2 linked regions of the Tamandua tetradactyla genome follow. The protein of the gene in region 1 binds, or shares a complex with, the protein of each later gene. Links are inferred from orthologs where the notes say so. Each region holds a gene or a part of one and is shown in the gene's direction. Other genes may lie near its edges. The genes, in order: PPARGC1B and PPARA.

Evidence for each region.
Region 2: the proteins of PPARGC1B (region 1) and PPARA are in contact, whole or in part, in a crystal structure (PDB 3SP6), measured with the Homo sapiens proteins. The link is inferred for Tamandua tetradactyla from reciprocal best matches to the Homo sapiens genes PPARGC1B and PPARA. Residues at the interface, in NP_573570.3 of Homo sapiens: Ser154, Leu155, Leu156, Gln157, Leu159, Leu160, Leu161, Thr163; in NP_001001928.1 of Homo sapiens: Val284, Thr285, Thr288, Glu289, Lys292, Phe297, Leu302, Asn303, Gln305, Val306, Leu309, Pro458, Leu459, Glu462, Ile463.

What each region holds. Positions count from the first base shown.
Region 1 is NC_135346.1:30,477,618-30,492,253, forward strand, and holds the start of PPARGC1B (peroxisome proliferator-activated receptor gamma coactivator 1-beta), read left to right. Parts: upstream 1-7,453; 5' UTR 7,454-7,494; coding exon 7,495-7,572; intron 7,573-14,636. UniProt on the Homo sapiens protein: Plays a role of stimulator of transcription factors and nuclear receptors activities. Activates transcriptional activity of estrogen receptor alpha, nuclear respiratory factor 1 (NRF1) and glucocorticoid receptor in the presence of glucocorticoids.
Region 2 is NC_135333.1:40,682,561-40,697,769, forward strand, and holds the start of PPARA (peroxisome proliferator-activated receptor alpha), read left to right. Parts: upstream 1-7,792; 5' UTR 7,793-7,835; intron 7,836-7,981; exon of another isoform or gene 7,982-8,081; intron 8,082-8,106; exon of another isoform or gene 8,107-8,227; intron 8,228-8,346; exon of another isoform or gene 8,347-8,547; intron 8,548-8,597; exon of another isoform or gene 8,598-8,739; 5' UTR 8,740-8,876; intron 8,877-15,209. UniProt on the Homo sapiens protein: Ligand-activated transcription factor. Key regulator of lipid metabolism. Activated by the endogenous ligand 1-palmitoyl-2-oleoyl-sn-glycerol-3-phosphocholine (16:0/18:1-GPC). Activated by oleylethanolamide, a naturally occurring lipid that regulates satiety.

The sequences.
Region 1 (14,636 bases):
ATTATTCATTACTAGTGAATAGAAACACTACTGATTTTGGGATGTTGATCTTGTACCCTGACACTTTGCTGAATTTGTTTATTAAGTCCAGCAGCTTTGTTGTGGATTTTTCAGGATTTTCTGTATATAAGCTCATGTCATCTGCAAATAAGGAAAGTTTCACTTCTTCCTTTCCAATTTGGATGCTTTTTTTTTTTTTGCTCTTGCTTAATTACTCTAGCTAGAACTTCCAGTACAATGTTGAATAACAGTGGTCATCCTTTTCTTATTCCTGATCTTAGAGGGGAAGCTTCCAATCTTTCAACATTGGGTATGATTTGTTGTAGATTTTCCATGTAAGCTATTTCAGTTTACTAACACTATCAGAATACATTATATCAGAAAAGGGTTGGCTTTTATAAAGGGGATTTATTATGTTATAAGTTTACAATTCTAAGTCCATAAAAATGTCCAAACTAAAACAGCCACAAAAAGACACCTTGACTCTGAAGAAAGGTCAATGGCTGTCACTTGGGAAGGCACATGGCTGGTGTCTGAAGTCATTGCTTCTGGTTCTTTTGCTTCCAGCTTCTGATTCCAGTGGCTTCTTCTTTAAGCATTTGTGGACCTCATTTGGCTGTTCTGGAGCAAAACTCTGGGTTTCATCTCTCAGCTTAGCATCTCCCAGAGCCAGAGATTTTTTCTCTTCAAGAGTCTGTGTCCTAGTTTCATACGGCTTCTCTAAGTATCTCCGTCAGAACTCCAGGCATCTCTAAAAGTCTGTGTCTGTCAGATTTTGAAGGACTACAGTAAACTAAACAAGACCCACCTTGAATAGGTGGAGTCACATCTCCATCTGTGCTGGTTTAAAACTGTTGCGTATCCCAGAAAAGCCATGTTATTTAATCCTGATTCAATATTGCTGGGTGGGATCTTTGTGATTAAGTTGTCTCCATGGAGATATGTTTTCACCCATTCAAGGTGGGGTTGCTTACTCGAGTCCTTTAAAGGGGAACCATTTTGAAAAAAGCTTTAGTGCTGACTTAGACATGAGAGCTTTGGAGATGCAGAAGGAAATCAACCCTGGGGAAGTTCTTTGATTCAGAAGCCTGAAATTAGCAGATGTTGCCATGTGCCTTCCCAGATGAGAGAGGTGTTCCCTTTGGCATCAGCCTTTCTTGAGTCAAGGTACCTTTCTCTGGATACCTTAGTTTCAAAATTTTTCTGGCCTTAGAACTGTAAACTTATAACATAATAAAATCTGTTTAAAAAGCCATTCCACTACTGGCAGCGTTAGCAAACCAAACGCCATCTAATCAAAAGGTCACACCCACAATTGGGTGTATCATATCTCCATGATAACAACCTAATCAAGAGGTCTCATTCTACAATATTGGTTCAGGATTAAAAGAACATGCTACCCCAGGACAACTGGATTAAGATTCAAAGAACATGGTTTTTCTGGGATACATAACAGTTTCAAACCAGTACATATGTCCTTTATCATGTTGAGGAAGTTTCTTTCTATTGCTAGTTTTTAAAGTGTTTTTATCAATAAGGAGAGCTGGATTTTGTCAACTGCTTATTCTGCATTAAATTGAGATCATCACGTGTTGTTTTCCCCCCTTTATTCTGTTAATGTAGTGTATTAAATATATACTGGTTTTCTTATGTTGAACCACCCTTGTATAAATGGGATAAATATCTCTTGATCATGATGTATAATTCTTTAGATATATTATTGGATTTGGTTTGCTAGTATTTCGCTGAGGATTTTTACATTTATATTATAAGGGATGTTGGTCTGTAGTTTTTTTTTTCTCTTGTTTATCTTTATCTGGCTTTCACGTGAGGGTGATATTGCTCTCATAGAATGAATTAGGAAGCGTTCCCTCCTATTCAATTGTTTTCAAGGAATTTGAGCAGGATAGTGTTAATTCTACTTGGAAGATTTGGTAAAGTTCACCTGTGAATCCATCTGGTTCTGTACATTTTTGTTGTGAGGTTTTTGATGACTGATTCAAATCAGTTATTGATTTGTTGAGATCTTTTGTTTCTTCTTCAATCAGTGTAGATAGTTTGTGTGTTTCTAGGAATTTGTCCATTTCATTTAGGTTTTCCAATTGATGGCATACAGTAGTTCATATTATCCTTTTATAGTCTTTTTCAGTTCTTTGGCATTGGCAATAATGTTCTTCCATTCCTTACTGATTTTAGTCATTTTTGTCCTTTTTTTTCTTTGTTAGTTTAGCTAAAGTTTGTTGATTATATTGATCTTTTCAAAGAACCAACATTTGGTTTTGATGATACTCTATTTTTTAAAAAAAATATCTATTTCATTTTAGCTCTGCTCTAATCCTTATTATTTCCTTCCTTCTCCTTGTTTTGGATTGTTTGTTCTTCTTTTTCTGCATCCTCTAGTTTTGAGGCAAAGTCTCTGATTTGAGATATTTCTTCTTTTTAAAGTAAGCACTTAGAATTGTAAGTTTCTGACTCAGCAGTGCTTTGCTGCATCCCATGGGTTTTGGTACAATGTGTTTTCATTTTCATTTGCCTAAAGATATTTCCTAATTTCCCTTGTGATTTTTCCTTTGATCCATTGGTTGTTAAAGAGTATGTTGCTTAATTTTCACTTATTTGTGAATTTCCCATTTCTCTCTCTGTTATTGATTTCTAGTTTCTTTCCATTGTGATTAGAGATCATGGTATGATTAGAGATACATTTAGAGATACATGGTATGATTTTAATATTTTGAATTGATTGAAACTTGTTTTGTGACAACATATGGCCCATCCTGGAGAATGATCCATGTGCATTAGAGAAGAACATGTATTCTGCTGCTATTGGGTAAAGTGTTCCATATATGTCTGCTTGGTCTAGCTGATTTAGAGTATCATTCAATTCTTCTGTTTTTTTTTTTTTTTTTTTTTTTTTACTGATCTTCTGTCTAGATGTTCTATCCATTATTGAAATCTCCCAGCACTAATGTAGAACTGTCCATTTCTCCTATCAAATCTGTCAATATTTGCTCCATATATTTGGGCTCTGTTGTTGAGTGCATTCATATTTATAATTTTTATGACTTCTTGTTAAATTGACCCCTTTATCAGTATATAATGACCCACCTTTGCCAGTTGTAACAGTTTTTGACTTAAAGTGTATTCTATCTGATTTTAGTTTTGTTATCCAGCTCTCCTTTGGTTACTACCTGCATGACATATTATTTCTCATTTTTTTCATTTCAACCTACTTATGTCTTTGAATTTAGGGTGAGTCTTTTTGTACACAGTATATAGTTGGGTCATACTGTTTTTTTTTTAAATCCATTCTATCAATCTCTCCTTTTTGATTGGAGAGTTCAGCTCATTTATATTTAAAGAACTCCTGATAATGCAGTACTTTTTTTTTTAGTCACATTGCTAGTTTGCCTTTATAAGTCTTATATCTTTTCTGATTCTCAATTCTTCTATTAATGCCTACTTCTCTCTCTATATATTTTTGTATTGCACCATTTTGAGTTCTTTCTCACTTCTTTTTTGAATATATTTTTCATGTGTTTTCTTTGTGGTTACAATGGGGCTAAAATTTAACATTTGTTACATTTTAATAGGTATGGAGCCGTAGGTACTCCAGAAAATATGTCCTTAAACTTAATCCATTCCTATGTGTGTGAGTCCATTGTAGGTAGGACATTTTGATGAGGTTACTTCTTAAACATGTGGCCTACCTCAATCAGGATAGGTCTTAATCACATTACTGGAGTCTTTTATAAACAGAATGAGATTCAGACAGATAAAGCCATGGGAAGTAAGAAGCTGGAATTCAATGGAAACTGGAGAGAAATAAGAGGACAGCAGAGACCAACATGTGCGTTGTCATGTGGCTCAGGATCAAGGATCACCAGCAGTCAGTCCCCAGAACACCATAGTTTTAGTGTCCATACTTTTACATGGACATTTTCTGGCCTCAAAACTGTGAACCAATAAATTCCCATTGTTTCCTCCTCCCTTTGCATGATATTTGCTTTTGCAGCAATGGAAATGAAAACAACCTCCTAATTATATAATAATCATATTTGATTTGATACCAATTTATCTTCAATAGCATACATCTACACTATTCATCTACCCCTCTGGTTTTTTTACTTGTTATAAATTATATCTTTGTATATCATATGTCCAAAACCATTGATTTATCAATACTTTTTATGCACTTGCATTTTAATATGGGAAAAAAGTGGAGTTACATAATGCACAACACAACACAATATTGTTGGCATTCATAATTACCCATATGGTTACTTTACCAGGCCTTTATTCTTTCTGTCTACTGTACTTCTCTTTCAGTCTGAACATTTCCCTTTAGAATTGCTTGTAGGGCAGATCTAGTAGAAATGAACTCCCTCAGCTTTTGTTTATCTGGGAATGTCTTAATCTCTCCCTCAGTTTTGAAAAAAAGTCTTTTTGGATATAAAATTACTGGTTGACCATAGTTTTCTTTCTTGTCCATCTGGAACTCTCAAATGTGTGTATTAGTATGCTTGATGGTGCCCCACAGTTCTCTTAGGTTCTGTTCATTTTTATCCTTTTTTCTTTATGCTTGTCAGCCTGAATCATTTAGTGTCTTGAATTCAAAATCACCGATGCTTTATTCTGCCACCCCCAATCTGCTGTTAAAACCCTCTACGGAATTTTTCATTTCAGTTACTGTGTTCTTCAATTCCATTATTTCTCTGGGGAGAGTCCCAAATTGTTCATTCATGATTTTCCTCACATCCTTTAGTTCTTTCTCCCTGTTTTCCTTTCTCTTCTTGAGCATATTTAAGGTAATTATTTTTACATCTCTGTCTGGTCAATGTAAAGTTCTGTCTTCATGATTGATGGTTTCTAGATTTTTATCTTGTTCCTTTGGATTGGTCAGTATTTTCAGTCTTGTAATCTTTTGTTACATTGTACACCTTTTCTTTTAGGTTTTTTTTTGGCATGGCAGACTCTGGGAATCAAACCAGAGTCTCCAGCTTGACAGGCGAGAATTCTTGCCATTAAGCCACCATTGCACCACCCCACATTGTACATTTTGATATTTAAAATGTTAACTAGGATTTAGTCCCCGAGCAGTCTGTTCCTTAAGTTTGTATCCAGCGAGTGAAATGACAGAGATTTTCTTGAATGCAAAATTCAAGAAACAAACAAATCACGTTAGAAAACACCTTTCAAGGCCTTTTCAAACTGTCTCTGGTTAGGCTGGTAGTTTTCTTCAGAAATTCTTGCTCCTATTAAGAAGATTAGCCTGAGGCGAATGGGAAATGCAGGTCCTTTCTGTCTTATCTGAGCCTGAGTGGAACCGGAGCCAGGGAGCCTGCTTCTTTTTCTGGGTTTATACTTGTGAGAGGATTTAGGAATTCCCTGTCTATAGTTTCCAGGAGTTCAAGTGAATGTCCCTCTACTCCTTTTGAAACTGGCCTCCTCCCCTTCCGGGGTGCTTTCTTGAGTGACTTGATACAGGTAGTCCTTTGCCCCAGGCCATGCCAATTTACCTGTTGTTTTTCACACTTTCTTAGCTTTCTGAATGTGGCTTTCTGTATCTGGGATGGTGAGCTGATACATACTCCCCAGTTTAGTCTCTCAGGGTTCCACCTGGTAGGCTGACACTGACATATATGCACCCCAGTATGTTCACAGGGGCCACTCTGCTCCCTCTGGAACAGAGACAGGGACCCACATTGAAGACACATGCCTTATGGAGGGGGTTGGGGAAGGCCACCAAGGGCACTAGGAGCTTCTATGTTTTTAATTTTCTTAATTCAGCACCTACCTTGTTAATGCAGCCAATGAACTGTTTGGCAGTTTTGAGGAACATAACTGTTTTAAAGATTTCTCTGCTGCGTTTGTCTCAGGGAGGCTGGAACAATAGCCGCTCTCAGAGTCACATCCCAGAGATTTGAAGTAGCTAATCAAAGATCAGATGACACACCCAAGGAATTTGGAAGACTATGTTCCACCCTGGAGCCAACAAGCTGTACCACTGGCCCAAGCACCAGTTACCACTGCTGCATGCTAGGAGGCTGGGATAGGGGGATGGTAGTTGATGCAAGGAGGGTTAAACTCACTGGCATATACAGCAATTTACCAGCATCCTCTCCAGCTTGTTGTTGGAGGAGGCACAATGCTTCCCCAGACTCTGGGGTTTCAAAGTAGTTGATTCAGACAGTTTCTGCCAGTTGAGTAGTTGTTTTGGTGGAGGAACTGATTCCTGGAGCTTCTTACTATGTCATCTTCCCATAATCTTCTTGCCATTCAGTAAAATAGACCCAAACATTCTTGCCTTCCAGTCTTATCCGGGGGTGCCCTCATCTCTTGCCTGCCGAATTGCTGGGCACGTTGACGAGAGTTCAAGGATTTGGGAGACCTGAGTTCTTATGATTCAGGCACTCACTTGGCAGTCTCCTTGACTCTGTATTTAGTTTCCTTATCGGTACAATGTTTGTACACAGGGTGGGGATGGGAACCCTAATTTTTCAGTTAACAGATTATTCCTAATTGCCTACTATGCACCAGGCAGTGGAACCATAACAAGTGCAAAAGCAGATTCAGGCCCTGCTTTCATGGTTCTTACAATCTAGTATGGCGGGGGAACACGGATCCAATCACCATAGAAACAAACGCACAATTGCCAATGCGACGAGCGTTTTAAAAGAAAGATCTGAGGTGCCAAGGGAGCCCGTGAATCCACTGAGGGAAGGGGGCAGCTCTCTGTGTGCACAGGCCTGTCGTGAGAAGGTACAGGGAGTCGCTGGAAAGGACTGCAGCGAGAGGGCCATTTTAAGGTATTATGGGCAATGGAAAAAGAAGTCATTAAAGTTCTTTTTGAGGGGGAAGGGGCGACATGAGAGAGACATATGACCAGGTTTAACAGAATATGGATCGATGCATCTTTCATGTTACAGACAAAAAATGCCACCAAGGATCTTTCCCTGATTTTTCCCACCTTGACTTATGGTTATCTCTCTCTCCCTCCCTGGCCATATAGCCAGGAGAGAGAAACTCAAGCCTTCAGGGCCCTCAGCCCCGGGCTTTCTCTTCCCCCTCCCCCAGCCTCAGTTTCCCCAGCTGTGCAGAAGCAGGTTATCTCAAAGGGCCCGCCCAGCGCTAAGGCAACGTGATTCGCTCTGGTAGGAGCCGGGGACTGCCCGCATTGTTGCGCAGGCATCGGCTGCTAGCTAGGAGACTGACACCGAGCTGCTGAAGCTTTCCTCTGGCCTAGGGGCTGCGGAAGCAAGCCGCCGAGGCGGAGGCTGTGCAGGAGAGTGGGGGCGCGACCCCCTGCTCATGAGGGCGCCACGCGGCCCCGCCCCCGCAGCCCGCGGCCCTGCGGCAGCCGGGGGCCTGAGCTCCGCCTTCCGCCTCCCGCCGGCCTCGCTTTCTCCTCCCTCTTCCCTCTCTTGCTCGCTCCCCCGCCTCCCCCCCGGCCGGCTCGGCTCTGACTCCGCCGCACGCTGCAGCCGCGGCTGGAAGATGGCGGGGAACGACTGCGGCGCGCTGCTGGACGAAGAGCTCTCCTCCTTCTTCCTCAACTATCTAGCTGACACGCAGGTACGACCCGCCGGGGCCGGGGAGACGGACGAGGGTGAACTGAACTACCCCGGGCTGCCGCCGCAGCCGCCGCAGCCGAGGAGGCCGGGAGGCAGTAGTGGGCGCTCTGGGGGGATCGGGGGTTCCAGGCTGCAGAGACCCTCTTCTACGCCCCCTGCTATGTGCTCCGTTCCTAGGGCAGGGAAATGGGGGGGCTCACGCGTGCCTGAGCTCTGGGGGCGCCACGGCCGCTGAGGAAGGTCTAGCTTTGGCCACTTGGAGTCTGACCCTGCGGGCAGAGCTGAGGGGGTACCGTGTTTCTTTGGAGGAGTGGAGCCGCGCCAAGGTGTGGGGCACCCTCCCGCCGGCGCTGGGCGCTGGAGGCGCGCCCTTAGCGCCCGGCATTTGCTGCCGTACTTTCACGTGGACTTGTGGCCCCGGCGCCAGCGCCTCCGGCGCTCTCGGGAGCCCCGTTTTCCTCCAGCCTCCGGAACCTCCTAGTGCTGCTGCCGGCCTCCCGCGTTTCCCCCGCGGCGCCCACTGCGCGGAGTTTCCTGCGGGTTACCGGCTATGGGAATCAGGGTCTGCGGGGCACGTGGACATGCGGGCGGGGATAGCGCCTTCCTGGTTTCGCTACCCAGTGGAGCCCCCCAGGGGAAAAGTACGGCAGGATGGGGGCGGGAAGACTGTCTGGGGGCCTCTGGGTTCCCCTGCTGCTCGCCACCCCGGTGCGCATTCGGCGCTGCAGGGGAAAGGGAAGGCGAGGCGGCATCCTGGGGTCTGGCTGCGCCTGGGATCCCCACTGGCGACACGCGCGTGACAGGAGAGGGTGCTCTGGTGTGCCCGAGGAGTGGGGGCCGGGGGAGCTGATGGCTTGAAGACAGGAGGGTGCTGCTGGGACAAATAGCCGCCGAAAATGCTTGCCTAAGGCTTGCGCGCCCCCTGCCCCTTCCGTCATTTCCCCCACCCATGCCTGTTGCAAGTGTAAAGTTTAGCCCCAGAGTTAGGGCTTTTTCTCCGGGCGCCCTGCTGCGGGTCCCCGGGAGCCTGGGGATGTGGCCAGGCTGAGGAGACCCCGGATGCAGGCGCACGCCTAGCTGGGAGAGGGGCCACCGGGCGGAACCGGGCGCGGCTCGCCGACGCTGGTTTGGTACCTGGAGTGGAAGGGTCGGTGCCGGCCCGTTTTGCATAACACGGGAAGGGAGGAGGAAGGCTGGGGGTGGGGGTGGGGGTGGGGGCGGGAGGTGGGAGGGGAGAGAGGGAAACTTTGCTTCTTGTTATAATCTGCCTGTCTTTGGGCGGCAGCAGCTGTCATGGGACCGGGTGGGCGGGGAGAGGCTTGCAAGCTGACTCCTTGTGGTGAGACACGACTCGGAGGGGACGCAGCAGCCGAGACATTCAGCTCCGGCGGACTCCGGGTGGCGACTCCGAGCCGGCGGCTGGGACGGCGCGGCACCGCGGAGTGTCACGGAGAGGAAGCCCGCCACGCGCCGGGGAAGGCCAGCCCTCGTCCGCTGCAGACGCCGCTGCGTCGGGGAGCCGCGGGGCCGCGTGGTTGGTGGCGGGTGCCGTTCGGGTGGGTTCTGGGCAAGGGCCGAAAGGGCTGGCGGAGTGTGACTGTGCTTCGCGAGGCCGGGGGAAGTGTGATGAGTGGTCTGTGTGCGCGGGTGTGTGTGTGTGTGTGTGTGTGTGTGTGTGTGTGTGTGTGCGCGCAACGCAGCGCGCGCCGGGCTCGTACCTTTACCTCTGACGAAACTGCGGTGGAGCTCCCGCCGCCGTCACCAGGCGCCGTCACACGCCCGGCGCCGGTGTCTGCGCGGAAGGCGGGTCTCAGCTCCAGCATCCCGGAGTCGACAGCCTTGGGCTAGGGGGACCGGGTGCGAGCAGGGCAGAGTTGACCCTGGAAAAGAATCGTCCCCAGCTCTCGCACTTGTCTGGGGGCGTTTCCATACCTCTCCGCTAAGAGGCGGGTGAGGGAAGCCTATAAATAGCCCGGAGACTCATTTGGGGACCCTCAGCATGTCTTGTCTACGCTGGACCTGACCTCGGGTTTTAACTGCATCTGTGCTCTTTGCCTCACCAGTAATTAATTATTTGCCCTTAGCCTTCCAGCAGGCCTACATGGCAGGGACATGCCACCCAAGAAAACAAGAAAATTGGGTAATCAGGTGTCAGCAGAAGCAGTGCAGTGAAAGTTGATCTGAGACGTTTGCTTTTTTTTATTTAACCACGTGACGGACCGAGGCTTTTCTGATGATCTTTCCCGGCCCAACTTGGGAAATGTAATTGATAGGGCGTGCTTAGCAGTCGCCCTTAGAAGGCTCGTAGAATCCAGCCGGAAGGAGACCTGGGCGGGCCATCGCGTGCCTCCTCATTTTACAGTTGGGGAAAGAGGCAGCCAGGGGTGAACGACTTGTACAGGACCATGCAGCCAGCGGGTGACAGAGCCACCCAGGGCTCCTGACTCCAGGTCCTGTGTGTTACCTTGAAATAGCACTGGACTTGGAGTCAGAAGGCCTGAGTGGAGTCGCCTTCCCCACTCTCTGGCTGGGTGACCCCAGGGCAAGCCATTTTAACTCTCTGTGCCTCATTTCCTTCATCTGTCAAATGGGGCTGGTGGTGCCAGCAGGAGAATCCAATGGCATGGTGGTGGGGTGAGCATTGTTTGCATGTGAGATGTCTGGCTGTTTGTGCAAGCTCCTTTCCTCTTGTGGCCTCTCCCTGACCCTCCCTCCCCTCCACCTCCAGTCTTTCTGGCTAGCCCCTTTGAGAGGGATGGGGGGAAAGTGATTTTGTCCAAAAGGCTTTTTTGTTGCCACTGTTGGCTAATCTGGGGTCAGGAGGTAGCTTTCTGTTGAGGAGACTACATTTTTATCCATTCAGGCCAAAGTACAGAAATTCACCAGAACAAGATTATGAAAGTTTCTTGGAGAGGTTTGGAGCATGAATCCCAAAGGACTTTGGGTTTGCTTCACTTTTGCTCAGGCTGTGCCTCTTGCCCGGAGTGCCCTCACCCACCCATCCTGCATGGCCTTCTCCTCTAGTAGGCCCTCCAGACCAGTTGTCCTGCTTTCTCTTTCCTCTCCTTCTCAGCCTGTGTTATAATCAAGACCTTTCTATGTGAATCTTGTGTCCCAGTGAAATTCTAGAGCTAGTTGTGCTTTATTTCTTGGTGCCCACATGGCACCTGTCACCATGCTGAGCCTTGTTCCTTCGCTCAGCATCTGGATTACAGATAGGGGTTCAGCTGGGCTGTGCCCAGCAGCAGTTCCCAGGCTGGCAGGGGAGACAGCTGGGCAGTGAGTGTGGAGAGAGAGGAATGCAAAGGGCCACAGCTGTGGGCAAAGACTTAAGCTCCAAAGGCAATGCCATCAGCCCACACCAAATATGGGTTATTTGAAGTCATTTGGGGCATCAATCATAGATGCCCAAAATGTCAGAGTCGGCAGGAACTTTATATAAATCATCTGTCCAACCTCGTATTTTAAAAAGTTTAATTATAGAAATGTTAGAAAATACTGGCAAGCGTAAAGAAGAAAATTAAAAATGTTATATTACCTCAAAGTTACCACTGTTAATTTTCATATGTATTACCAGGCTTTTTTCTTTCCCATTGGTTCATACAGATTACAGCTTCTTTCTTTCAAAAATGGAATCATTCTGTGTGTACTAATTTGTAACTTGAAATCTCATTGTTTTGTAACTTGCTTTTTTCTCCTCCAAACAATATGTTATGTACATCTTTCCATATCAATAAATATTATCCTTTAATATCTTAATGGTTACATAGTATTTCATTGAGGCTTGAACCAAAATGTATTTATTTCAGTCTGTTACTGTTAATCATTTAAGTTGTTTCCAGTTTTTTCTTTTTTTTGCTATTGTAAGCAATGCTGAAATGAATATCTTTGTGCATATGTCTTATTTCCTTCATTTAAATTCCTAGAAGTGAAATTCCTCCATCAAAGGAACTGTACAGGCATTTGGTAAACACATTTCTGGATTGCCTTCTGGAAAGATTCTGCTAATTTACACACTCATCAGCATTGTATGGGAATGCCTGGTTCCCCATACCCAGATAACTTGGTATTTTTTTTGTTTTAAACTTTTATCAGTCTGTTCATCAATAAATTTTGTCACCCTATTGTTTTAATGTGCATTTCTTTGATTATTAGTGATGCTGAACCTTTTCCCCATATGATTATGGACCATTTGTGGTTCTCTTCTGTGAAATGCCATGTTTGTAAACTTGGCCCATTTTCGGATTGGTGTCTAGCTTCCTCATTATTCTAAAGCTAGATTTAAGCCCCTGGAAGGGATGAGTCCCTGCCACATGGAGAATTAGGAGAATGGCTTCAAGTCCCAGTGTTCAGTTGTTGGATCTGTAGTATCACTGCCTCTGCAATCCTTGATGCTAGGGCCAACTTGTTTTCCAAGTCCAAGTTACAACCATCTATAGGAGCAAATTGAAATGTGGCCTTTGCTAGGTGCATTTGCCCATCTCTCATCTGTGTTGAGCCCAGGGATCATCACTTGAGCCTGCATGGGCAGACTTACTGGCTCTGTTCACTGGAGCCCTGGGCTTTGCTTTCACTGGGGCTCCCTGGCTGGTGCTAATGGATGCCTATGAAACTCAGGAAAGGTAATCACCCAGCAACTGGGCCCCAAGGGGCTTGTATTCCCCTTCACCTCCAGGCCTCCTTTCCCAGCTGCTGCAGGCCAGCCAGAAGCTCCACCATTGCCAGGATGTGAGTCACTCTTTTCCTTCTCTCTCTGGAATAATAGAAGGAACACTGGTTTGAGTCAGAAGCGGCCTTGCAAATGGGGACTTGGAGCTTGGAAGTGAGGTCATGACAGAAGCATTCCCAGAGTTAGCAGCTATCTTCTTCATCATTGTCAGCAGCAGCAGCAGCATTTATTGAGCATCTGGGTGGCATGCACTTGGCTAAGCCATTTGTTTGCTTTATTATGTTTCATTCCAAAAAAATTCAATGAAGTGTCGATGTTATTATTATCCCCATTTTAAGATGAGGATTTTCAGGAAAGTCACTGCCTTGCTGAAGTCCCCCTCTTTGAGTAAGTGGTAGAACCAGGATTAGTGGGTGAGAGTCCCATATTGTTTGCCTCCAGGCTCTATTAAGACAGGAATCACTCTCTGTTTTTGTTCATCATTGTGTATCTCCAGCACCTTGAGTAAATTAAGGCACATTGTATAGTGAGAAGACAGAACTCGTAAGTCCCTCTGCTTCTCAAGTCCTCAGTTTCTCCATCGATAAAATGGGAATAACAGATCCTGTCTCAAGGTTGGGAACCAAAAAATAGAATGTATATAAAATGACCATTGACTTGCTTCTCATAAAACATGGAATTCTTCTCTGTTTGAAGCACTTTAGAAGGGCAGGAGCAATAAAAACTAGTATTGGTACATATTACTTTTTTTTATGTAAAAAGAAAAAGGGATGCATAATTCTTGTTTTGTGAATGGGAGGGAATCACCAATGAAATGATCTGGAAGGAAATGAGCAGGCTCAGTTCCTACCTCTCTTTGTCCGAGGTAGTCATGTACCTCCCAGCCATCGTATGGAGACTCAGGTGGATTGAACAAAATTGGTGGACTTGACCTTTCTGTTCTTCTCCCCCTCTTCTGATCCAGATCCTTGTCCATTCACAACTGGATTTCTGCAGTTAGTACCAAAGGGATCTTTGCCACACTAGACTCTGTTCCCTCCAATTTCTTCTCGACCCTGATGGCAGATAGTCTTCCTACAGTGCATGCCTTTTTTCATCACTCCCTTGCGCACACATGTCCTGTGGCACCCGGATCTTGGGCATGGCAGGTGAGAACTCTACTTGCAGAGCCACCGTGGCCCACCCCGCAGTACTTTTTCTTTTTTTTCACATGGATAGGCACCGGGAATCGAACCTGGGTCTCTGGCAGGAGAGGCGAGAATCCTGCCTGCTGAGCCACCGTGGCCCACATGTCCCCCCATCCCCCGCCAGTACTTTTAAAGTCCAAACTCTAACCTTTTGTTCAAAGGCACCTGAAGTTGGAGAGTTAAGCCTCTGCCTTTGTCCTAAGTTGTCTGCTTTTCCCTTGGGATCCTGACCCACCCCAGAATATGCCATGAGTTTTCCTCCTGGAGACTTGGAATCGTGCTGTTTCTGTCTTCTGTCTCCAGCCTTACCGTTTCTGTGATTCATCCTCCAAGACCCACCTCCCATGCCATCATTTTGGTGATGCCTTCACTCTCACCTCCAGGCACGGCTGCTCCATCCCCCATGTGTCATAGTGCAGGGACTGGCAGAGCACCCCCTGTGGACAGCCTGCTTGGGTTTGAATGCTGCCTCTGCAATTTGCCGTTTACACCCCAAACCTCTCTGTGCTTCCTTTTTCTTCATGTGTGAAATGAACATAATAATAAGGGGTTCTTCCCTTATAAGGTTGTGGTGAGGCGACAGTAAAAATCAAATGATAAAATAGATTTAAATTACCTACTATAAGGGCTGGCATATAATGAGCACCAAATAATATGTATGTCTGCTAATATAGATCCCACTAAGTCATTACTTAGAAAATCACTCCAAAATGTTAAGCTCCATGAAGGCAAGGATTTTTGTCTGCTTCATTTACCATTTTCCACAGTAAATAGACACGTGCCTGTAACAGTGTAGATACCAATAAATCCTCACTGAGTGAATGAATATGTGAGACTCTTGAGCCTGAATCTTCAGGGCAGACATTGCTTCCCATTTTGTATCTTCAGGCCATGTGTTCCTGAGAAGGGATGGACTAACAAGCTGTGGAATGAGCTGGAATGTCCCCTCCCCACTGCTGCCTCCACTATTTTAATGTATTCATTGCCCATCTGAACGTCAGGCCTCAGCTCATACCTGTCCTCTCTGGAAAGCCTTGTAGGCAGAAGTTCTTCTCTCCCACTGATGTGGTGTATGCCACTTACTGCCCTGTGGATGCTGTGCTTTTTGCCCTGCAAATAGATTGAAAGCTCTGGGAGGGCAAGAAATAATTATTTTTATCCCTGGCAAGCATTATGGCTGCCCAATAGGTAAACAGATTTATATGTTCA
Region 2 (15,209 bases), on another chromosome or scaffold:
GTATAGAGGCAGGGGTAACCCTGACCACTCTTCCCAGCCCCCGCTTACTGCCCCCTCCCCCATCAGGAAGGAAGATTTGCCTCAGCTCCAAAAGGGAAAGGAGACAAAATAAAAGGGAAAAAACTGAACTCAGCCACAAGGAGTCGAGGCCCCTGCAGAAATGGGACCCCAGTTCATCTGCCCTGCCAGGCCCCGGGGAACCTCAAGCCCTGACCCTGGTTTCAGGCAATCTTGGGCTGGCAGATGTAGGGACACATATAAATCCTCTCTCTCTAGAAAAAGGAAGCGCCATCATTGGCTTCGTGCAACCCCCACAAATACCTTTCCAAGGGTCCCAAGACATACACCGTTAAAGACAACCAAGCCTAAAAGGAAGCCAGGTGCTGAGAGCCACAGGGAGACCAACAGAAACCTGCACAGCCTTTGTCTCTTGTCAATATCATTTCAAACCATAACCCAAGAGCTGGCAAGAGCTGGAGCACACACTTAGTGGCCAGCCCCAGCTACGGCTCATCCTTCATCCAGGAATTCACAGAGGGAGGACCGCGTGCTGCCCGGCGGCAAGTTCTGGGGCTCAAGGGAGGCAGCAGGCGTGCAAGTGGCTGGAGGGGTAGAGGGCCCAGAGGCTGCGTCCACTGCAGGCGGGGTGGGAAGAAGCATGCGGGAGGTTTCCACGGCTGGCTCAAGTGGCTCTCCTTCACATTGCTTCTCAGTAGCGGTAAGTCACCCTTCTTGTGCAAGGTGCTGGGAGAAGCTGGCTTCCTGTTCCTGAACCAGGTATATAGAAACGGATTTATTTACAGCCACTTCCCCTGGCTGTTGAAGAGGCTGTTCTTTCCCCATTGAATGGCCTTGGTTCTCTTGTCAAAAATCAATTAGCCATAGATGTGGGGGGTTATCTCTGGGCTCTCAATTCTAGTCCATTGGTCCAGTTGTTTAGCTGAGGCTGGATCCACACTGTTTTGATTCTTATGGCTATGTACTAAATTTTGAAATCAGGAAATGTGAGTTCTTCAACTTTGCTCTTTTTTCAACATTCTTCTTGCTATTTAGAGCCCCTTGCAATGCCATATGAATTTGAAGATTGACTTTTCCATTTCTGAAAAAACAGGCAATGGGGTGCGTTTTTTTTTTTTTTTTTTGTCTTTCTTTCTTTGTTTTGTTTTTTTTTTCCTGCAAGGGGTGTTTTTTAGTTTTTACTCAAGTTTCTCTCTTTAGATTCGTGCAAGACCACCTTCCACTTTGGCCACCTTCATAGCAATGTTGCAGTGCTCCTTGTGGAACCACTCCCCAGGACACCATCCCTGCTCCATCCTCCAGCTCTGTGCAGGTGAAACAAGTCCCTTGAGTCTGAGCCTACTACTGCTGAAGCACCTTCCTTGGCTCCCCACTGTCTGAAGGATAGTGTCTCTGCTCCTTAGTCTGCCTTCCCAGGCCCTCCCTGTGCTACTTCCAGTCTCCTCTGCAGCTCCATCCCTGGCCTCCCGGGGCCCTCTCCTGCTCCAAGGTTTGGGAGAATGGGGCTGTCGCCCTTTTGCAGCAGGAGAGCTAACTGAGGTCAGTTTCAGTTAGTTCTGGTAAGTTACTCAATTTTTCCTGTGAGTCTATCAGGTGCTGTGGCCATAGCCTTGGGAAGAAAGAGTCCCTGCGCTGGATGGAGACCCTCCTGTCTGATGAGAGAGGCAGGAAACCATCAGATCCCACTAGAAAAATATGATAAGAGCAGAGACTGAGATTTGCCTGGGATTTTAGAGGGCAGTGAGGGCAGGCATCTCACCTAGCTGGGGTGGGGCAGCCACAGGCTGTTCAGGGGAGGCTTCCAGGAGGAGGGCCTCTGAGCTGAGATCAGTTAACAGACAAGGGGGGCATCTGCCCAGCCCACAGTGCACCCCAAGGTCCAGGTGAGTCAAGGAACCAAGGGGTGCTGGGAAAATACCTGGCAACTCCCTAAGAGCCCAGAGGCCGCCTTGCTCCCCCAGATGACATCAGCATTGGGGTCAGTGGGCCGTGAAATGGGGTTACCTTAGAAAATGTCAGCTCAGTCCTTGGCACCTACTAGTGTTAGTGCTTTGTTTTGTTAATTGAACTCAGGACTGATACTTACCGAGATGGTTTGAGTGAATCTAATGCTGATTCCTGGAGAAGTGAAGTGGTGGGTGTACAGCCCCTCGTCGGCCTTCCCAACCAGCCATTCAGGAGCCCTGCCCGCCAGGGTGCCAGTCCCATGTCCTTCACCAACACTAGGCCACAGCCACCATTTTAAGAACTGGATGGCCTTCGCGTACCATGTGGAATTCAGCTTTGGCTTGCTTTTTCCTCTGCATACCTCGAGGCTCCTGGGCAGAGACAAAGCTCTTCCCTAGGCTGGGCTGGGCCCGAGGAGGGCACCGATGGTGTATGTGCCAGGACACATGTGGGTAAATCCCTGCAGCTCCCGAGGCAGCCGCCCACATCCCACAGCCTCACTTGGTGGAAGATCAAAATCAGGGGCTCATGTGTCATTTTAAATTCCACTCTGCAAGTCTCAACACTGGCTGATGTGTTGACTTGAAAATAAATAGCACAAATAAAACTGGAGTTGAGAGCTGAGCTAAGGCATGAAAAGGTTGGAGACTGAGCTCAGGAGAGTTTCACGAAGACTTTGTGACATGCTGTGCGCTCTTGAGTACCAAGGGCTCCTCTGGGGCAAGCGTTCCTGAACTTGGGGCTTTTGCAAACCAGTGAAGTCTTAACAGCTCTGGGGGCTGCCAACTCCTATCGCCTACTCTTGGCGCTTCACATAAGACATTTTTATTAAGAAAAGGTATTTTCAGCAACAACAACAAAAGAATGCAAAGGACATAATCTCAGGGCAAGAAAAAGGTATTTCTTAAAATTGATGAGACAATGCTTTATAGGAAATGCCCCACAATGTCCTTGATTTTTTTCTCATTTTGCTGCAGACCAGGAAAGCTTTGCCGGCGATGGCTTGTCCCTTTACATCCTGTACCTTCTCTTAGCAAAACCTAAGGCCTGTGATGCTGACCTCCTCTCCATTCATTCGGCTGCATTTGTGGAGCCTTGCATGTTCCAGAGGCAGAGCTCGGCACCTGGGATGAGAGCCACAGAAGGTGCCCTGTTCTCATGGAGCTCGCAGCAGAGGCTGGGGCCGAGGGCCCTGTAGGCCGGGCCAGTCTCACGTTCATCCCCCCAAGCCTGGCTGGGAGGATTTTCTGTAAGAGGCAGATGACAAGGCAGGAAATGAGAGAGCTGCACTTGGCCAGGTGTCCTAGGTGTGAGGGCCCAGTCAGTGGTGGCTGCTCTGAGCGGTGGAAATAGGCCTTGTAAAGACTCTCGCTCCAGATAAAAGCAGGAGTTGGTAGCAACACAGAGAAGAGGGTGGTTTTTTGCTGGTGGGGTGTGTCCCAGAGAGGCTTCCTGGAGGAGGTGCCCTCCTGGAGGAGGCAGAGCCCTCAGTCTGGAATATGACACACCTGTAGTACTGAACAGCTGTCTCCAGATGGCTCAGGATTAAAACATGGCTTTTCTAGGGAACATAATTCTTTCAAACCCACACAAGTGGGGAGCAGTGTTACGAACTCAGTTTGGGTCAGATGGTTGCAAACTCCATTTCCACACAGAACAGTATCCTTTGTCCCCCCTCTTCCCCTTTCTGGCTCTCCAGCAGGACTCCCATGGCAAGAACAGGTCCCACAGGTCCTGAAGCTCCAAGCACCTGCTCTGAACTGGGTAAAAGACACCCATGATTCCAAAGGGTGGCAGCCAGCTGGAGATGGAAATGCACGTGCTGACAAGACAGGGTCCACCAGAGTGGACACAGGTGGGGGGGCAGCGTCATGCAGGTGGGCTGCCTTTAGCTTTTCAATGACGTCAGACATGGGCACCCAACCTCTGTCCACTCTAAACGGGGACAGGTGAATGATATAACAAAGGGGTTGAGTCCTTATGACATCAGTAGTCGCTGAGCCTGTAGAAGGTTCCAGATCCTGCAAACCAGCTGCCCAGAATGAGCATGTGGCTTTACCCAACATGTTAAGAAGGGTTAACATCTATCACTGTTTTTACTTGTTTGTAATCTGGTGTTTAAAATCCTCTAAGGGCTTCCCATCACCCTTAGAACAAAACCTCAACTCCTCACCAGGCCACAAGGCCCTGCCTGGCCAGGTCCCAGCCCAGCTCTGGTCCCCTTGGAGCATGTGCATTCCCTCATCCCTTGAATGAGCAGACTTCAGTGCAGGCTGCTGCAGGCCGATTAGAGCAGGGGGGACAGGACTGGCCTTGAGCAATCCCCCTCCCATGCAGGAGCCAGATAAGGCCCAGGGACACAGTTATGGGGTGCACCTCTGGCTCTCAGGCCGGCTGAGGTGTCAGGCTGGAGAGCACTAGCCTCTGGCTGTGGTCCAGGCAGTGGGGTCCTGCATGTACCCCAAGGGTGGCATACGGTACGATGGGTTTGGCCTCTGAGCGCCATGCCTCCAGCTCCTTCCTGGTGCCCCGGGTCAGGTGCTACTGCTCCTGTGACATGGAGGCCAGCTGCTGGCCTGTGGGGCTGTTGAGAGTGCTGAGGACAAGACTTCGCCACCTGGACCCACGAGGGTTTTGCCATCGTTACCAGGAGGATGGGCAAGCACATGTTTCTGGTGGTCCCTGCCAGGGTCGAGCCAGGGCCCACTGGGTCCACAGACTCTCCCTCACTCAGCCCGCTGTCCCTGCCTGGTGGACTTCTGCTACCTGCCCTGAGAGCACGTGCCCAAGGGGTCAGAGGCCTCTGCCCTGGCTGATGACACCCGGAAGCACAAACACCAACTCATCAGGAGGGCTTTGTAGATCAGCAAAGGGCAACCAATGACCCACGGAGGCCTTGGATGGTTCCCGGTAAAGGGCTTACCTAAGCTACAGGCAAACAAACTGACTCCAGGCCACATGGCCCAGGCCACTGCCCAGACCCACGGCAGGGCAGGGTCACACCTTCTCTCTGAATTAGAGGGTGACATCCTTGCTGCCTGGTACCAAGGGGCAGACCCCTGCTCCAGGTCTCTGGATGCCCACAGCTTCCCGATTCTCTCCCAGAAGCCAGGGCATGGGAGTCTCACTGCCTGGTGGGGTTGGGGGTCCCGGCAAGGCTCAGCAGAGCAGGGGTGGGCTCTGGAGTTGCGCAGACCCACCTTCTGACCTGGGCCCTGCAATTCCGCCTATGGGACTTGGTGCACCTAGGACCTCTCTGTGCCTCAGTTTCCATAGCAGTGTGGGAACAATAACTGACTTCTCGGGAACATCTTCCCGATTATACAACTTGTGAAAAGGGACCTGAAAAGCACTGGCACCAAATAATGTAAGCCATACCCTAAGGGGACCAAGACATGAGTGCCCAAGACCCCAAGTGCCTACTAGGACCCTGTCTTTCCAAAGCGGAAACTCGGGTATGCACAGGGACTGTTCCCATTGATTTGACTCCAGAGTTACAGGTTTCTGCTCAGGCCCTGCACAGGAGGCTGTCTCTTTCCACTTGTGTCCCCCCACCCCACCCCAGTGCTGAAGGAGGGAGGGGGGATGGAGAGACTTCCTGGAGCTTGGGGGGAGGGAGCATTCCCCAGGACGGTTCCCCCCATGCTGGCCCGATGGTTCATTTTATGTGTCCACCTGGCAACGGGGACCACTTGCTTGGTCTAACACAGGGCTAGGTGCTACTGCGAAGGGGCTTTGGGGATGGGGTCGGCAACTACAATCAGTTGACTTCAGGTAAAGAAGACATCCCTCGATAATGTGGGGGACCCCACTGAATTAGCTGAAGGCCTTGGAAACAAGAGCCAAGGTTTCCCAGAGAAGAAGGAATCCTGCCTCGAGATGGGACCTTCACCTTTGACTCCAGTCTGCCCGCCCTACAGATTTACATCGAGATGCAAAGTCTGCTCGTAGAGGAATTTCCAGCCTGCTGACTTGTCCTGTAGATTTTGGACTTGCCAGCTCCCGTGATCACCAATTCTTAAAAAATCAATCTTTCTATTTCTCTCACGCACACACACATGCACACATGCACACACACACATACACACATGCATGCATCCTATTTGTCTGGGAAACCTTGGTCAATACACCAGCTATGTGACAAGGTCTTCATGGCAAACAGAGGCTGTTTTCGTCTTTCTTGCTGAGAGGGATTTCCCCAAAGAAACCCACCTTCCTCCAGAAAGACAGAGGTAGAACCATCTCTGGCCAGGATCACACTGGTAGAAAAGTTCTGAGCTTCTTTTTAATGACAAGGGCTTCAGAACGACCTGGGGAAGCTGACAAAGCATTTGTTCACAAGAAAAAAACAGACGTTTCTCCCCTAAACCCTGGGAGCCCCCTCAAGAACCTAAGAATATCATTCTTCTGTCTGTCAAGCACGTACGAAGGCTCTGTTGGACCCTACACAGCTTCCTTTGTCCTTGTTCGTCACAACCTTTGCCAGGTATTTCCAACCATCTTGCTGAACTGGGTGGGTTTTTTTTGGGGAACCATCATGATGCCTCTGGTAAAAGAAAGCCAGCACCCACGGTTCTGGACTCAGGGTATTTGGGAGTCTGGGATCTGGGGTATGTCAGGCAACGTCTTAGTAGTGTGGAGCCCACAAGTCTGTCTGGGCAGCCACCGTTGGTCAGCTTCCTTTTCAGCTCGAGCTGTGATGCCTAGCCCAGGACTGCCCCTGGTCAGTGCTGGTGACTAGTTGCTGAATAAAGAAAGAATGCCACTACCTGTTCAACTTATGGGACACCCATGATAGGACGTGCACTGATCACTTTGCAAACTCTGACACATAAGGCTACTGCTAGCTGCGTGGGCAATAAAAGCTGGGCTTGTTGCTCAGTGAGTGGGAAGGGTGTGTGGGTGTCTGGGGGCTGGGGCAAAGTTCACCCCGGTGCAGTGCTAACCAACCGGGGGAAATTGAAAAGAAGCCTGCGGAAAGGCCAGGTTTGGCCTGGCCTCCCCTCCCTGCCTTCCCCCCCCCCCCCCCCCCCCCCCCCCGAGCTGGTCCTCCTGGCGTTTGTTGCCACAAATAGAACAGCGGGAGGGCAGGGAGAGGGCTGGCATAGCACACATTTCGTTCCCAAAGGAGGGGCACCCTGGGACGTTGGCACCTCGTGGCCTCGTGCATTCCGTGCAGGGAGCTGGGTGTCAGGGCACAGAGCCGCCTTGAACTCTCTCGGCCCCTTCTTCTCGCCATTGGCAGCACCAGGGAAGGGGCACCCGGCTCGCAGGCCGCCAGGGAGGGAGGGATGGGGGCTGGTCGTGGCGCCCGCGCTGCCCTTCACCCTTTTTGTGCTCCCGCCCGCCGCATCCCGTGCCCTGGCAACTCCGCCACCCGGTGGCGCGGCGCTGCCCCTTCTCCGCCTTTTGCATCTTGGGGACCCGGGGACGAAGGCCTTCCTTGCCCGCCCCCGGTTCCCGAGACCCGACGGGTGAAGCCGGGCTAGCGGAGAGGAAGGCCCCACCAACGTGGCACCGGCGCCCGGCGGGGCTCCCACCCCCGGCTCCGCCGCCACAACCTCGGCCCCTCCCGGGGGCGCGGGCCCGAGCCCGCCCGCACGCCGCGGCAGCCTCTGGGCCTCTCCGGCCTCAGTTTCCCCCGAGTGGCCGCGGGGCGCAGGGTGGGAGCGGCGGGGAGCTCCCAGGGGCGTCCGCGGGCCCGCCCAGCTCCCAGCAGCCAATCGGGCGCCGCCGGCCGGGGGTGTGTCCCGCCCGGGGGCCCGGGGTGAGAGGCGGGGAGGCGGCCGCTAGAGCCCTGACGGGCGCCGCCTCCCTGGGTGCGCTGCGCAGGGCGGCCCGGCAGGCGGCGGGGAGCGACGCGGCCCCAGGTGCCCGGCGCGGGCGGGTGGGCCAGGCCTCCCCAGTCCGGGGCCCCAGGGCCGTGACCGGCCGGGGCGGGGCTGGCGGGAGCGCATGCGCGAGGGCTCGAGCGGGGGGACCCCGCGGGCGCAGGGGGCCGCCCCCTGCCTGGCCTCTCTCGGAGCGCCCCGGCCCGGCCCGCGGCCGCGGCGTCGGTGACTGTCGGTGGGGCGGGGGCGGCGTGGAGGTCGCTCCCGGCGGGGAAGGCCCACGAGGTGGGACTTGAGCTTCTGCAAGTCGAGCCCTGCGCTCGGCGCGGGCAAGTTGGGGCGTCACGGACTTGGGGGGCGTTTCCAGAGACCCCGAGGGATCTCCGAGGCGGGGTGACCGCGAGGACCTGGCGGAGCGACGCACGGGGCAGGTGCGCCCCGCAGCTGCGGCCCGACGGTGGCGCGGCCGCCGAGCCCCCTCTGAGGCGCCGTGTCCTGCCGCGGACCGGGCGCGTTCTGGGGGTGCCGGGTGCCATCCGGCCGGGTCGGGGTGCGCCCAGGCGCCCAGGTGTTCTCGATCCCCCGCACTTGGCCCGTGAGGCGCCGAGGAAGCGGAGGGGCGCGTGGTGGCTCTGGAGGAAGTTGACAGCGGGCCTTGCGCCCACGCCCACCCACGTCTAACCCTGAGAGCTGCGCTCCCCGTTCAAGGGGGGCGGGGGTAGTGCCCCAAATGGCACTCTTTCTAAAAGAGGTACAAGGGTGAGATGGGAACATTGGGACAGCACGTCCCCACCCCACCGCACCCGCCCCCTCCCAGGCTGCCCGGGAAATGGGGCGCGGGGGAGCTGGGCGGGTAGGTGGGGCAAAGGGCTCTCCCGGCACTGACCCCGTGCAACCGTTGTCGTTGTGAGAAGCAGGGTCAGGGTGACTTTCCTCTTCCAAGGTGGTGGCGAGCTGACGAGGGTGTCCAGGGAACGGTCGTGATCGTTTCCTCCTTTCCTTTCCTGCTGCCAAGGCTGAGGCGAAAGGCCCTGCAGTCCGGGTGACCAGAAGATCGGAGCCAAGCAGGTTTCCTCACAGGTAAAGAGAAGATTTGATTCACACGTGTTTCCAGGCCCCAGTCTTGAAGGATTTACTGCTGTTGCCCAAGGGACCAGCGTTTTTGCTGTTAGTTGTGACACTGATGCAATGTTGAGGGCATTTTCAGTACTTTTAAACTCAGATCCATTTGGAGCTATTCATTTTGTAAGTTCTGAGTTATTACGTGAGTTTCACCAAGGTCTTCATATCTTCGTGGCAGACCAGGCGCATGTAATTTAAATTTAGACAGTACAACTTTGAGAAAAGTTATTCCTTAATAGGCACTGACCACCGAGGAGCAGTATGCTGTCTTAGCTGTTTTAATTTAATTTGAATACCAAGCAAATGGCTTATGGAGATAGTGGATCAGTTCTAGAATTTCCATCAGCCAGTGCAGGGATAGCTAAAGAAGTCGGCCAAATGGTACAGATTTGTGAGGTCACATTCAGGAAAGGCCAGACCACTTCACCTTCTCCAGGAGACAGGGGGCCTGGCAAGATTCTATACAACTTGGAAACAAAAATAAAATCACGGATGGTAGGCAAAAATTAAGTTGTTTCTGTCTCTCTCTTTTCTCGCATCTTAAATGTATAATGGGGGAAATTCCAAAGTCATAAAATAATTATTTTTACCAGCTCATGTTTGCAAAACTTGTAAACAGATTTTAAACTCCCCAGTCCTCTTCTCCCTTTTCCTCTCCCAGGTTTTGTTTTCTGTGTGTGAATGAATATATTCCTAAGACTGAATAGGTTGGCCTGACTTCTCAGTGGCTGGTGTTTTCATTTTACTGTCTGCACTCCTCTGGTTGCAGCAGCCTGAGGATGTGTCCTGTGTACTTTGCTTTGTTGGACTTTGAGGGGCTCTGTTTGTACTTCTGGTTTTGGTGATGTGGTGTACAGTCGGTTTTGTAAACATTCCCGAGGCATTTCAGAGAGAGGCAGACTTTCTGTTTGTAGGAAAGAGATTGGATATTTCTACTGCCCCAGCCTCATTAGTTACATAAAAGAATCGATGTAATCAGGGAGAATTAGTGAAGACATTTAGTTTACAGCATGTTGTTGCAGGTAGTTTTAAGTCAAGAAGCAAACGGGGAAAAATCCTAAGTGTCCGAGTGAGCCGTATTTAAAAGAACATGTTTCTTCTTCTGGATACATCTGGTGCTTGAGCTTCTTGTGGAAAGGGGTACTAGGTGGGTGCACTGTCCACCTGTCCTCCAGGTAACAGATATCAGGTAGCCGAGCCTCATGTGCTCATTACCTGGAGGTGTGTTCATTCCTTATCTTCTGGAGTATTTAATTACGTAGTGTATTGAGGAAGTGGTGTCTTGGAAGACCGTATGTGCTTCAAAGAGTAAAGAACTTACACCTTACTAAGTCCACCCTATTATAATTATTTTTGTGGTTAAAAGTTGCATTTAAGGCCAGAGTGGAGTAAAAGAAAAAATATTTGGAAATTTTGGTTTGCGTGAGGGAAGCAGCTTGCTATAGTGGAAAAGGTGGTGATCATTCACCGGATTTGGATTCTAGTCTTTAGCTGCCACCTCCCAGGCCTTGGGACCTTTGTCCACCTCCCCAAACTGCCATGTTCTCACCAGAAAATGGAACTCCTCTCTGAGTGATTTTGAGTGAGGCTCAAATGTGGTGGCTTATCTGCGCGCCTCCCGGGAGAGGTCTGAAAGAGGGAGAAGGCCCACTGCGGGCTACCTGCCTCTCTCGCTTAGCCTATCTGATACCTGAGTTGTTTTTGCTCTGACCATTTTCTGATTTTTCAAAGGCTTTTGGAAAGAAACACCTACCCCACCTCCAAACATAACAATTTGTTTTTTTCATTTTTAAGTAGATATACAAGAATCGTACATCAGTCAGAACCAACATGCTTGGTGTCTGTTTTTGTTGAACGTAGAGGTGACTTCAGGTTTTGGTAGCACTACGTCTTTACGTTCGTCCATGCTCAGATCTATCTCAATTATACAAAGCATCATCCTCGTCCTTGGGCAATCTGCAGAAATGCGGCCGTGGTGTACTCTTGCTGGACTCTCTGCGTTTGAACCTGCTCTCTCATCTGCCCTGGGACAGGACTCTCTTGAGCTGTTTGGGTGCTGCCTTGCTTGCCATTGGCTGTTTGTCTAATTGTTCCCACTAAGTCTGACAATCTGTGGGCAAAGATTAGTTCATACTCATTTCTGCCCTGCTGGTGCTTTATGCCTAGTTCCAGTCAATGTTCATTGAATAAGTAAATGATTAATATAATTTAGTTCGACCAGTATTTATTTGTGGGTCTCTGTGTCTTCTGCAGTGCTCTAAAATGGGTAAGGACTCACTGTCCCCTACAGAAGGACAGGCCATGGACCATGGCTGCAGGATTCCCCTGGACATTTTTACAGCTGCCCTCTTACCTGGGATGGCAGAGCCCATCCTTCTGCTAGTTCCAGACAGGGTGCCCCACACCATGCTGGGTTTACATATGTAGTTCCCAACCCAAAGGTGGTATAAAGGTGGCGGTTGCAGTTGAAATGGTTCTGTTAGTAATTTGTCGCAAGGTTTGGGGTATGTGATGCGTTAAATTGGCTTTTTAGGAGATGGCCTAAGAATCTAACAAATTAAAATGCTGTTTCTTTCTGTGAGAGCATGAATTCAAATCCCAAACCACTGACTTAGATGGGAAGGGATGCATTTGAAACACTGTGAGTTGGGGAATGTGTGTATTTAACTGGTCACTTACTTGTGCTCCCGTAGTGGAGATAAGATATGCACAGGAGAAATTAGAGGAAACACTGATAAGATGTCTTCCATGCTACAGGATGCAGAATTCATGTGATTCTTCTATTTTGTTCTGCTTGAAGGGGTTTGCAAATAAAAGATGTGACCATTTCTATTAAGAATTGCATGTGTTACAGTTTTATCTTGGAGATCACAAGTAAACCATTGAAAGGGTATTATTTTGAATAGTGAGGATTAGGGAAGCAAATATGGAATGACTGTCTCAAAGTTAATGAAGTGTTATACAAGTGACCCGGAATGATAACATAGCCGAGTAAACGATATAGTTCCTTTTTTTTTTTTTTCCCATTTTTAAGAGTCCATGTAGCCCCATTTGTAACGGAATTAGTCTGTGGTTATGTGTTCACCACACTGAGATGACAAATCAGCAAGATACAGTGAAAACAACCCACTTATTTAAAGAGCAGCAAATAGATATGTCTCTTTCAGAAACATCTTAAGAAGTTAGTGGTCTGCCTTTGGTGAGTGTTTAAATGCATATTTACAACTAAAGAGCATGGCTTGTAAAATATAATATTGCAGAATTGAATGACAATCAAGTCTTGATCATCTGAAATCAAGTTTTCTTCTGTTTCCTATGTATTGAATGGAATGGTTTTCACCGAACATTCATTAGAGGCATTTTCAGGCGGCTTCCCTTATCGAACAAGTTGGCATTTCCTAGGCCAGCAGCATAAGGAAAATAGTATCCCTGTCTAGGTAGGATTTGGGGTAAATATGATAAAATTCTAAACTACAGACTCATTTTAGCTGCTTTTGTGAGACAGCTGATAACTGGGTTCGTTTCTTATTTATTCACTGTCCCACTTTTTCCGTTTCTGTTTTCCTCTCTGTGCATTGGGGACGGGATGACGTGAATGCCATTTAGAAGAAAAATCATCCCGCGGAACTTGCAGTTTGGTTGAGGTGGACCTGTCTTGGTATGTGAAGTGGACCTGTCTTGGATATGGTATCCAGCAGGGCAGTATTGGAGGTGTTTTGGTGCCCTGGGATTTCAAGATCCCTGAAGGGATTGTTTTCCTTAGTATTATGACTGTTGCCCCCCTACCCCCCCCCCCCCGGCTTTTGCAAAACATTACAGAATCTGTCACCAGCTCTAGGCCAGGGAACTTTGACCCCTGCAGGTCTCCTGATGATTCACGAACAAGCAGTCAAAAGTGCAGGAAAGTTCAGAAGACAACCTTTGTTCTTTTCTTTCCTTAGAAAAACTCCCCCCCTTTTTATTCCAGAGCACTTTCCAGAAAGAAAGACATTCTATGGCTATAGTTTTCAAATCTTAAAAAGAAACCTAACCCTTTACAGTGAATGAAGAGTCCTGAGAAAGGCAGGTCGGTACAAAAAAAAAAAAGTTCAGTTGTGCAAAAATACTGATGGTGAGAGATTCAGTAAGGGTCATGGAGCAGGGACAGGTTATGGGGTATTGAAATGCATTTGAAGCTGATGTTCCTTGAGAGAAAAAGGCTAGTGCCAACACGGCAGAGAGAACGTGTGTGACAAGTGATGACAAAAGAACATGGGGGTGGAGATGTTGATGCCTGAGTGTTTGTTCAAATAGGAGATGGATTCTACTTACCCAGGGAAGAGGGTATGGCAATGGTTCTAGTCCTGCAAAGGAGGCAGGGGGCAAAGGGCACAGGTTCTAAAAGAAGTGGAGTTGGAGAACTCATCACAAATGGTAAACCAAGGACTGCTGTCCCTCTGCTAGGACAGCCTGGAAACCAAAGCTTGTAACTGCCAGCGAAATGATAGGAAACGAGGTTAAGTGCGATGGTGTGTTTATCTGAAAGAAGTTCCTGGGGAGGTTGACAGGAAAGGGCTTTAAGTGGAGAGCTTTACAATAAGAGCAGTAGCGATTCTTTCAAAGTCCCAGGCTTTGTGTGTGAATCTGGGGTATAAAGAGTACTTAGCAGAATAGCAATAGAAGAAGAGAGAAATATGGTGCTTTTCTTTCACCCTGGAAACCAAAAAATTTATAGGCTTCTTTTCTTTCTTTCCCTGTCCCATTCTCTTTACTTAGATGAACCTAACAAAGTTAGCTTTTAGTGTCTAGGTCAGAAGTCTAAATGAAGGTGAATATTTAACCACATTCAAGGACAGCTGATAATCTGGTAATGCTAATAGAGGCACAAGACTAAAAGAAGAGAAATAAGAGTCCAGCGAGATGGGGTGGGGAGTTGTATAGCCAGGGAAGCAGATCTACCCATGGCAGAGTCTGAGGACTAAGAAACATGAAAGAGCACAGTTGCTAGGCAGTGCCCAGTTAACTTTAGCAGAATGAATGGTTTCCACGTGGACTTGCTCCTTAGAAGTCACTTTCCAGAAGCTGTTTCAGAAAGAGAAATGTCCAGTTATGCTAGCAGGCCTAGGACAGTCTCTCCCAGAGTGAAGCCTCCAAAAGATAAGAGAGCAATTGAAAATTAGAACCTACAAAAGGAATTGATTTTCAGAGATGAAAAGATGACATTGTAGCCTAACATATAATATATGCCTTCACCTGTTATTCTAAGAAAGCGACCATCAGCATCTTTATACAGGTTAAAGACAAGGAAACGTTTCCTGTGTAAAGACAGCCAGGCTCTTTCTGACTGTGCCTTCACGTCTTCCTCAGAACCCTCCAGGGCTCTCCTTTTCCCTCTGCAGGCTTTGATCCACCGTTACTGAGTCCTGCCTACCCACCCCTCCCTTGAAGCCCCCACACCTCTCCTGAGCAACCCTGACCCTCTTAGAAGCTCTCAACTCAGTGTGTCCAGTTCTGACCCCCTGGCTTCTCCTCCCACCCCCGACATTATCCTCCTGCTTGCTCACAGTCGCCCCCCTGGGACTGTGCTGTGGCAGGTGCCCCCTCCGGATTCCCTCCGCTTAAGAGGCCTTCAGGTCTTCACCACATGCCGCCTCCTTGGTCCCACCCCCAACTAGATGCAGGCTTTTTGTCCATCAGACTCCCTCTGACAGTGTAATTCTCTCTGATTTGGCATTTTCTGCCTTTACTTCAGCAGTTGTGCATTGAGTCCATCATTCATTCATTCATTCATGAACCAGGCACTGCCCTGAATGCTGGGGAACATGGTGGAAAAACAGGACAGAATTCCCTGCCATGTTAAAACTTTGCATTTTGTGAGGAGTGAGACTCCCAGGCTAAGGGGAAAGCCAGGTTCGGAAACAGACGATCACCTGCTGTGTGGAATGAGCTAGACTAGCAGGGGAGGCTGGGCGAGGCTTGGTCCCAGGGAACTGTGGCTGCCAGGGGAGCATGCGCTGGCTGTAATGGTGATTCAAACTCAGGGTTTCCTTTCACTAAAGACACTAAATTAGGAGGAGGAAAGAGTAAATGGAAAATCTCCAAGAAGTTTTAGAACCCACTTTAGTCCTTCCGATGATTATCCTGAAGATACTGAGTGCTCACGTTAACCTTTCAACCCACTTAGGTCAGCAGAATTTATATCTTAGATGATTACACGCTAATCACGTACCTAATGACCTAGAGTCGAGAGACACTGTATGTTTCATTACAGGGTCTGCCTTTCCATGGTTGCCGATAGTCCTAATATTAAAA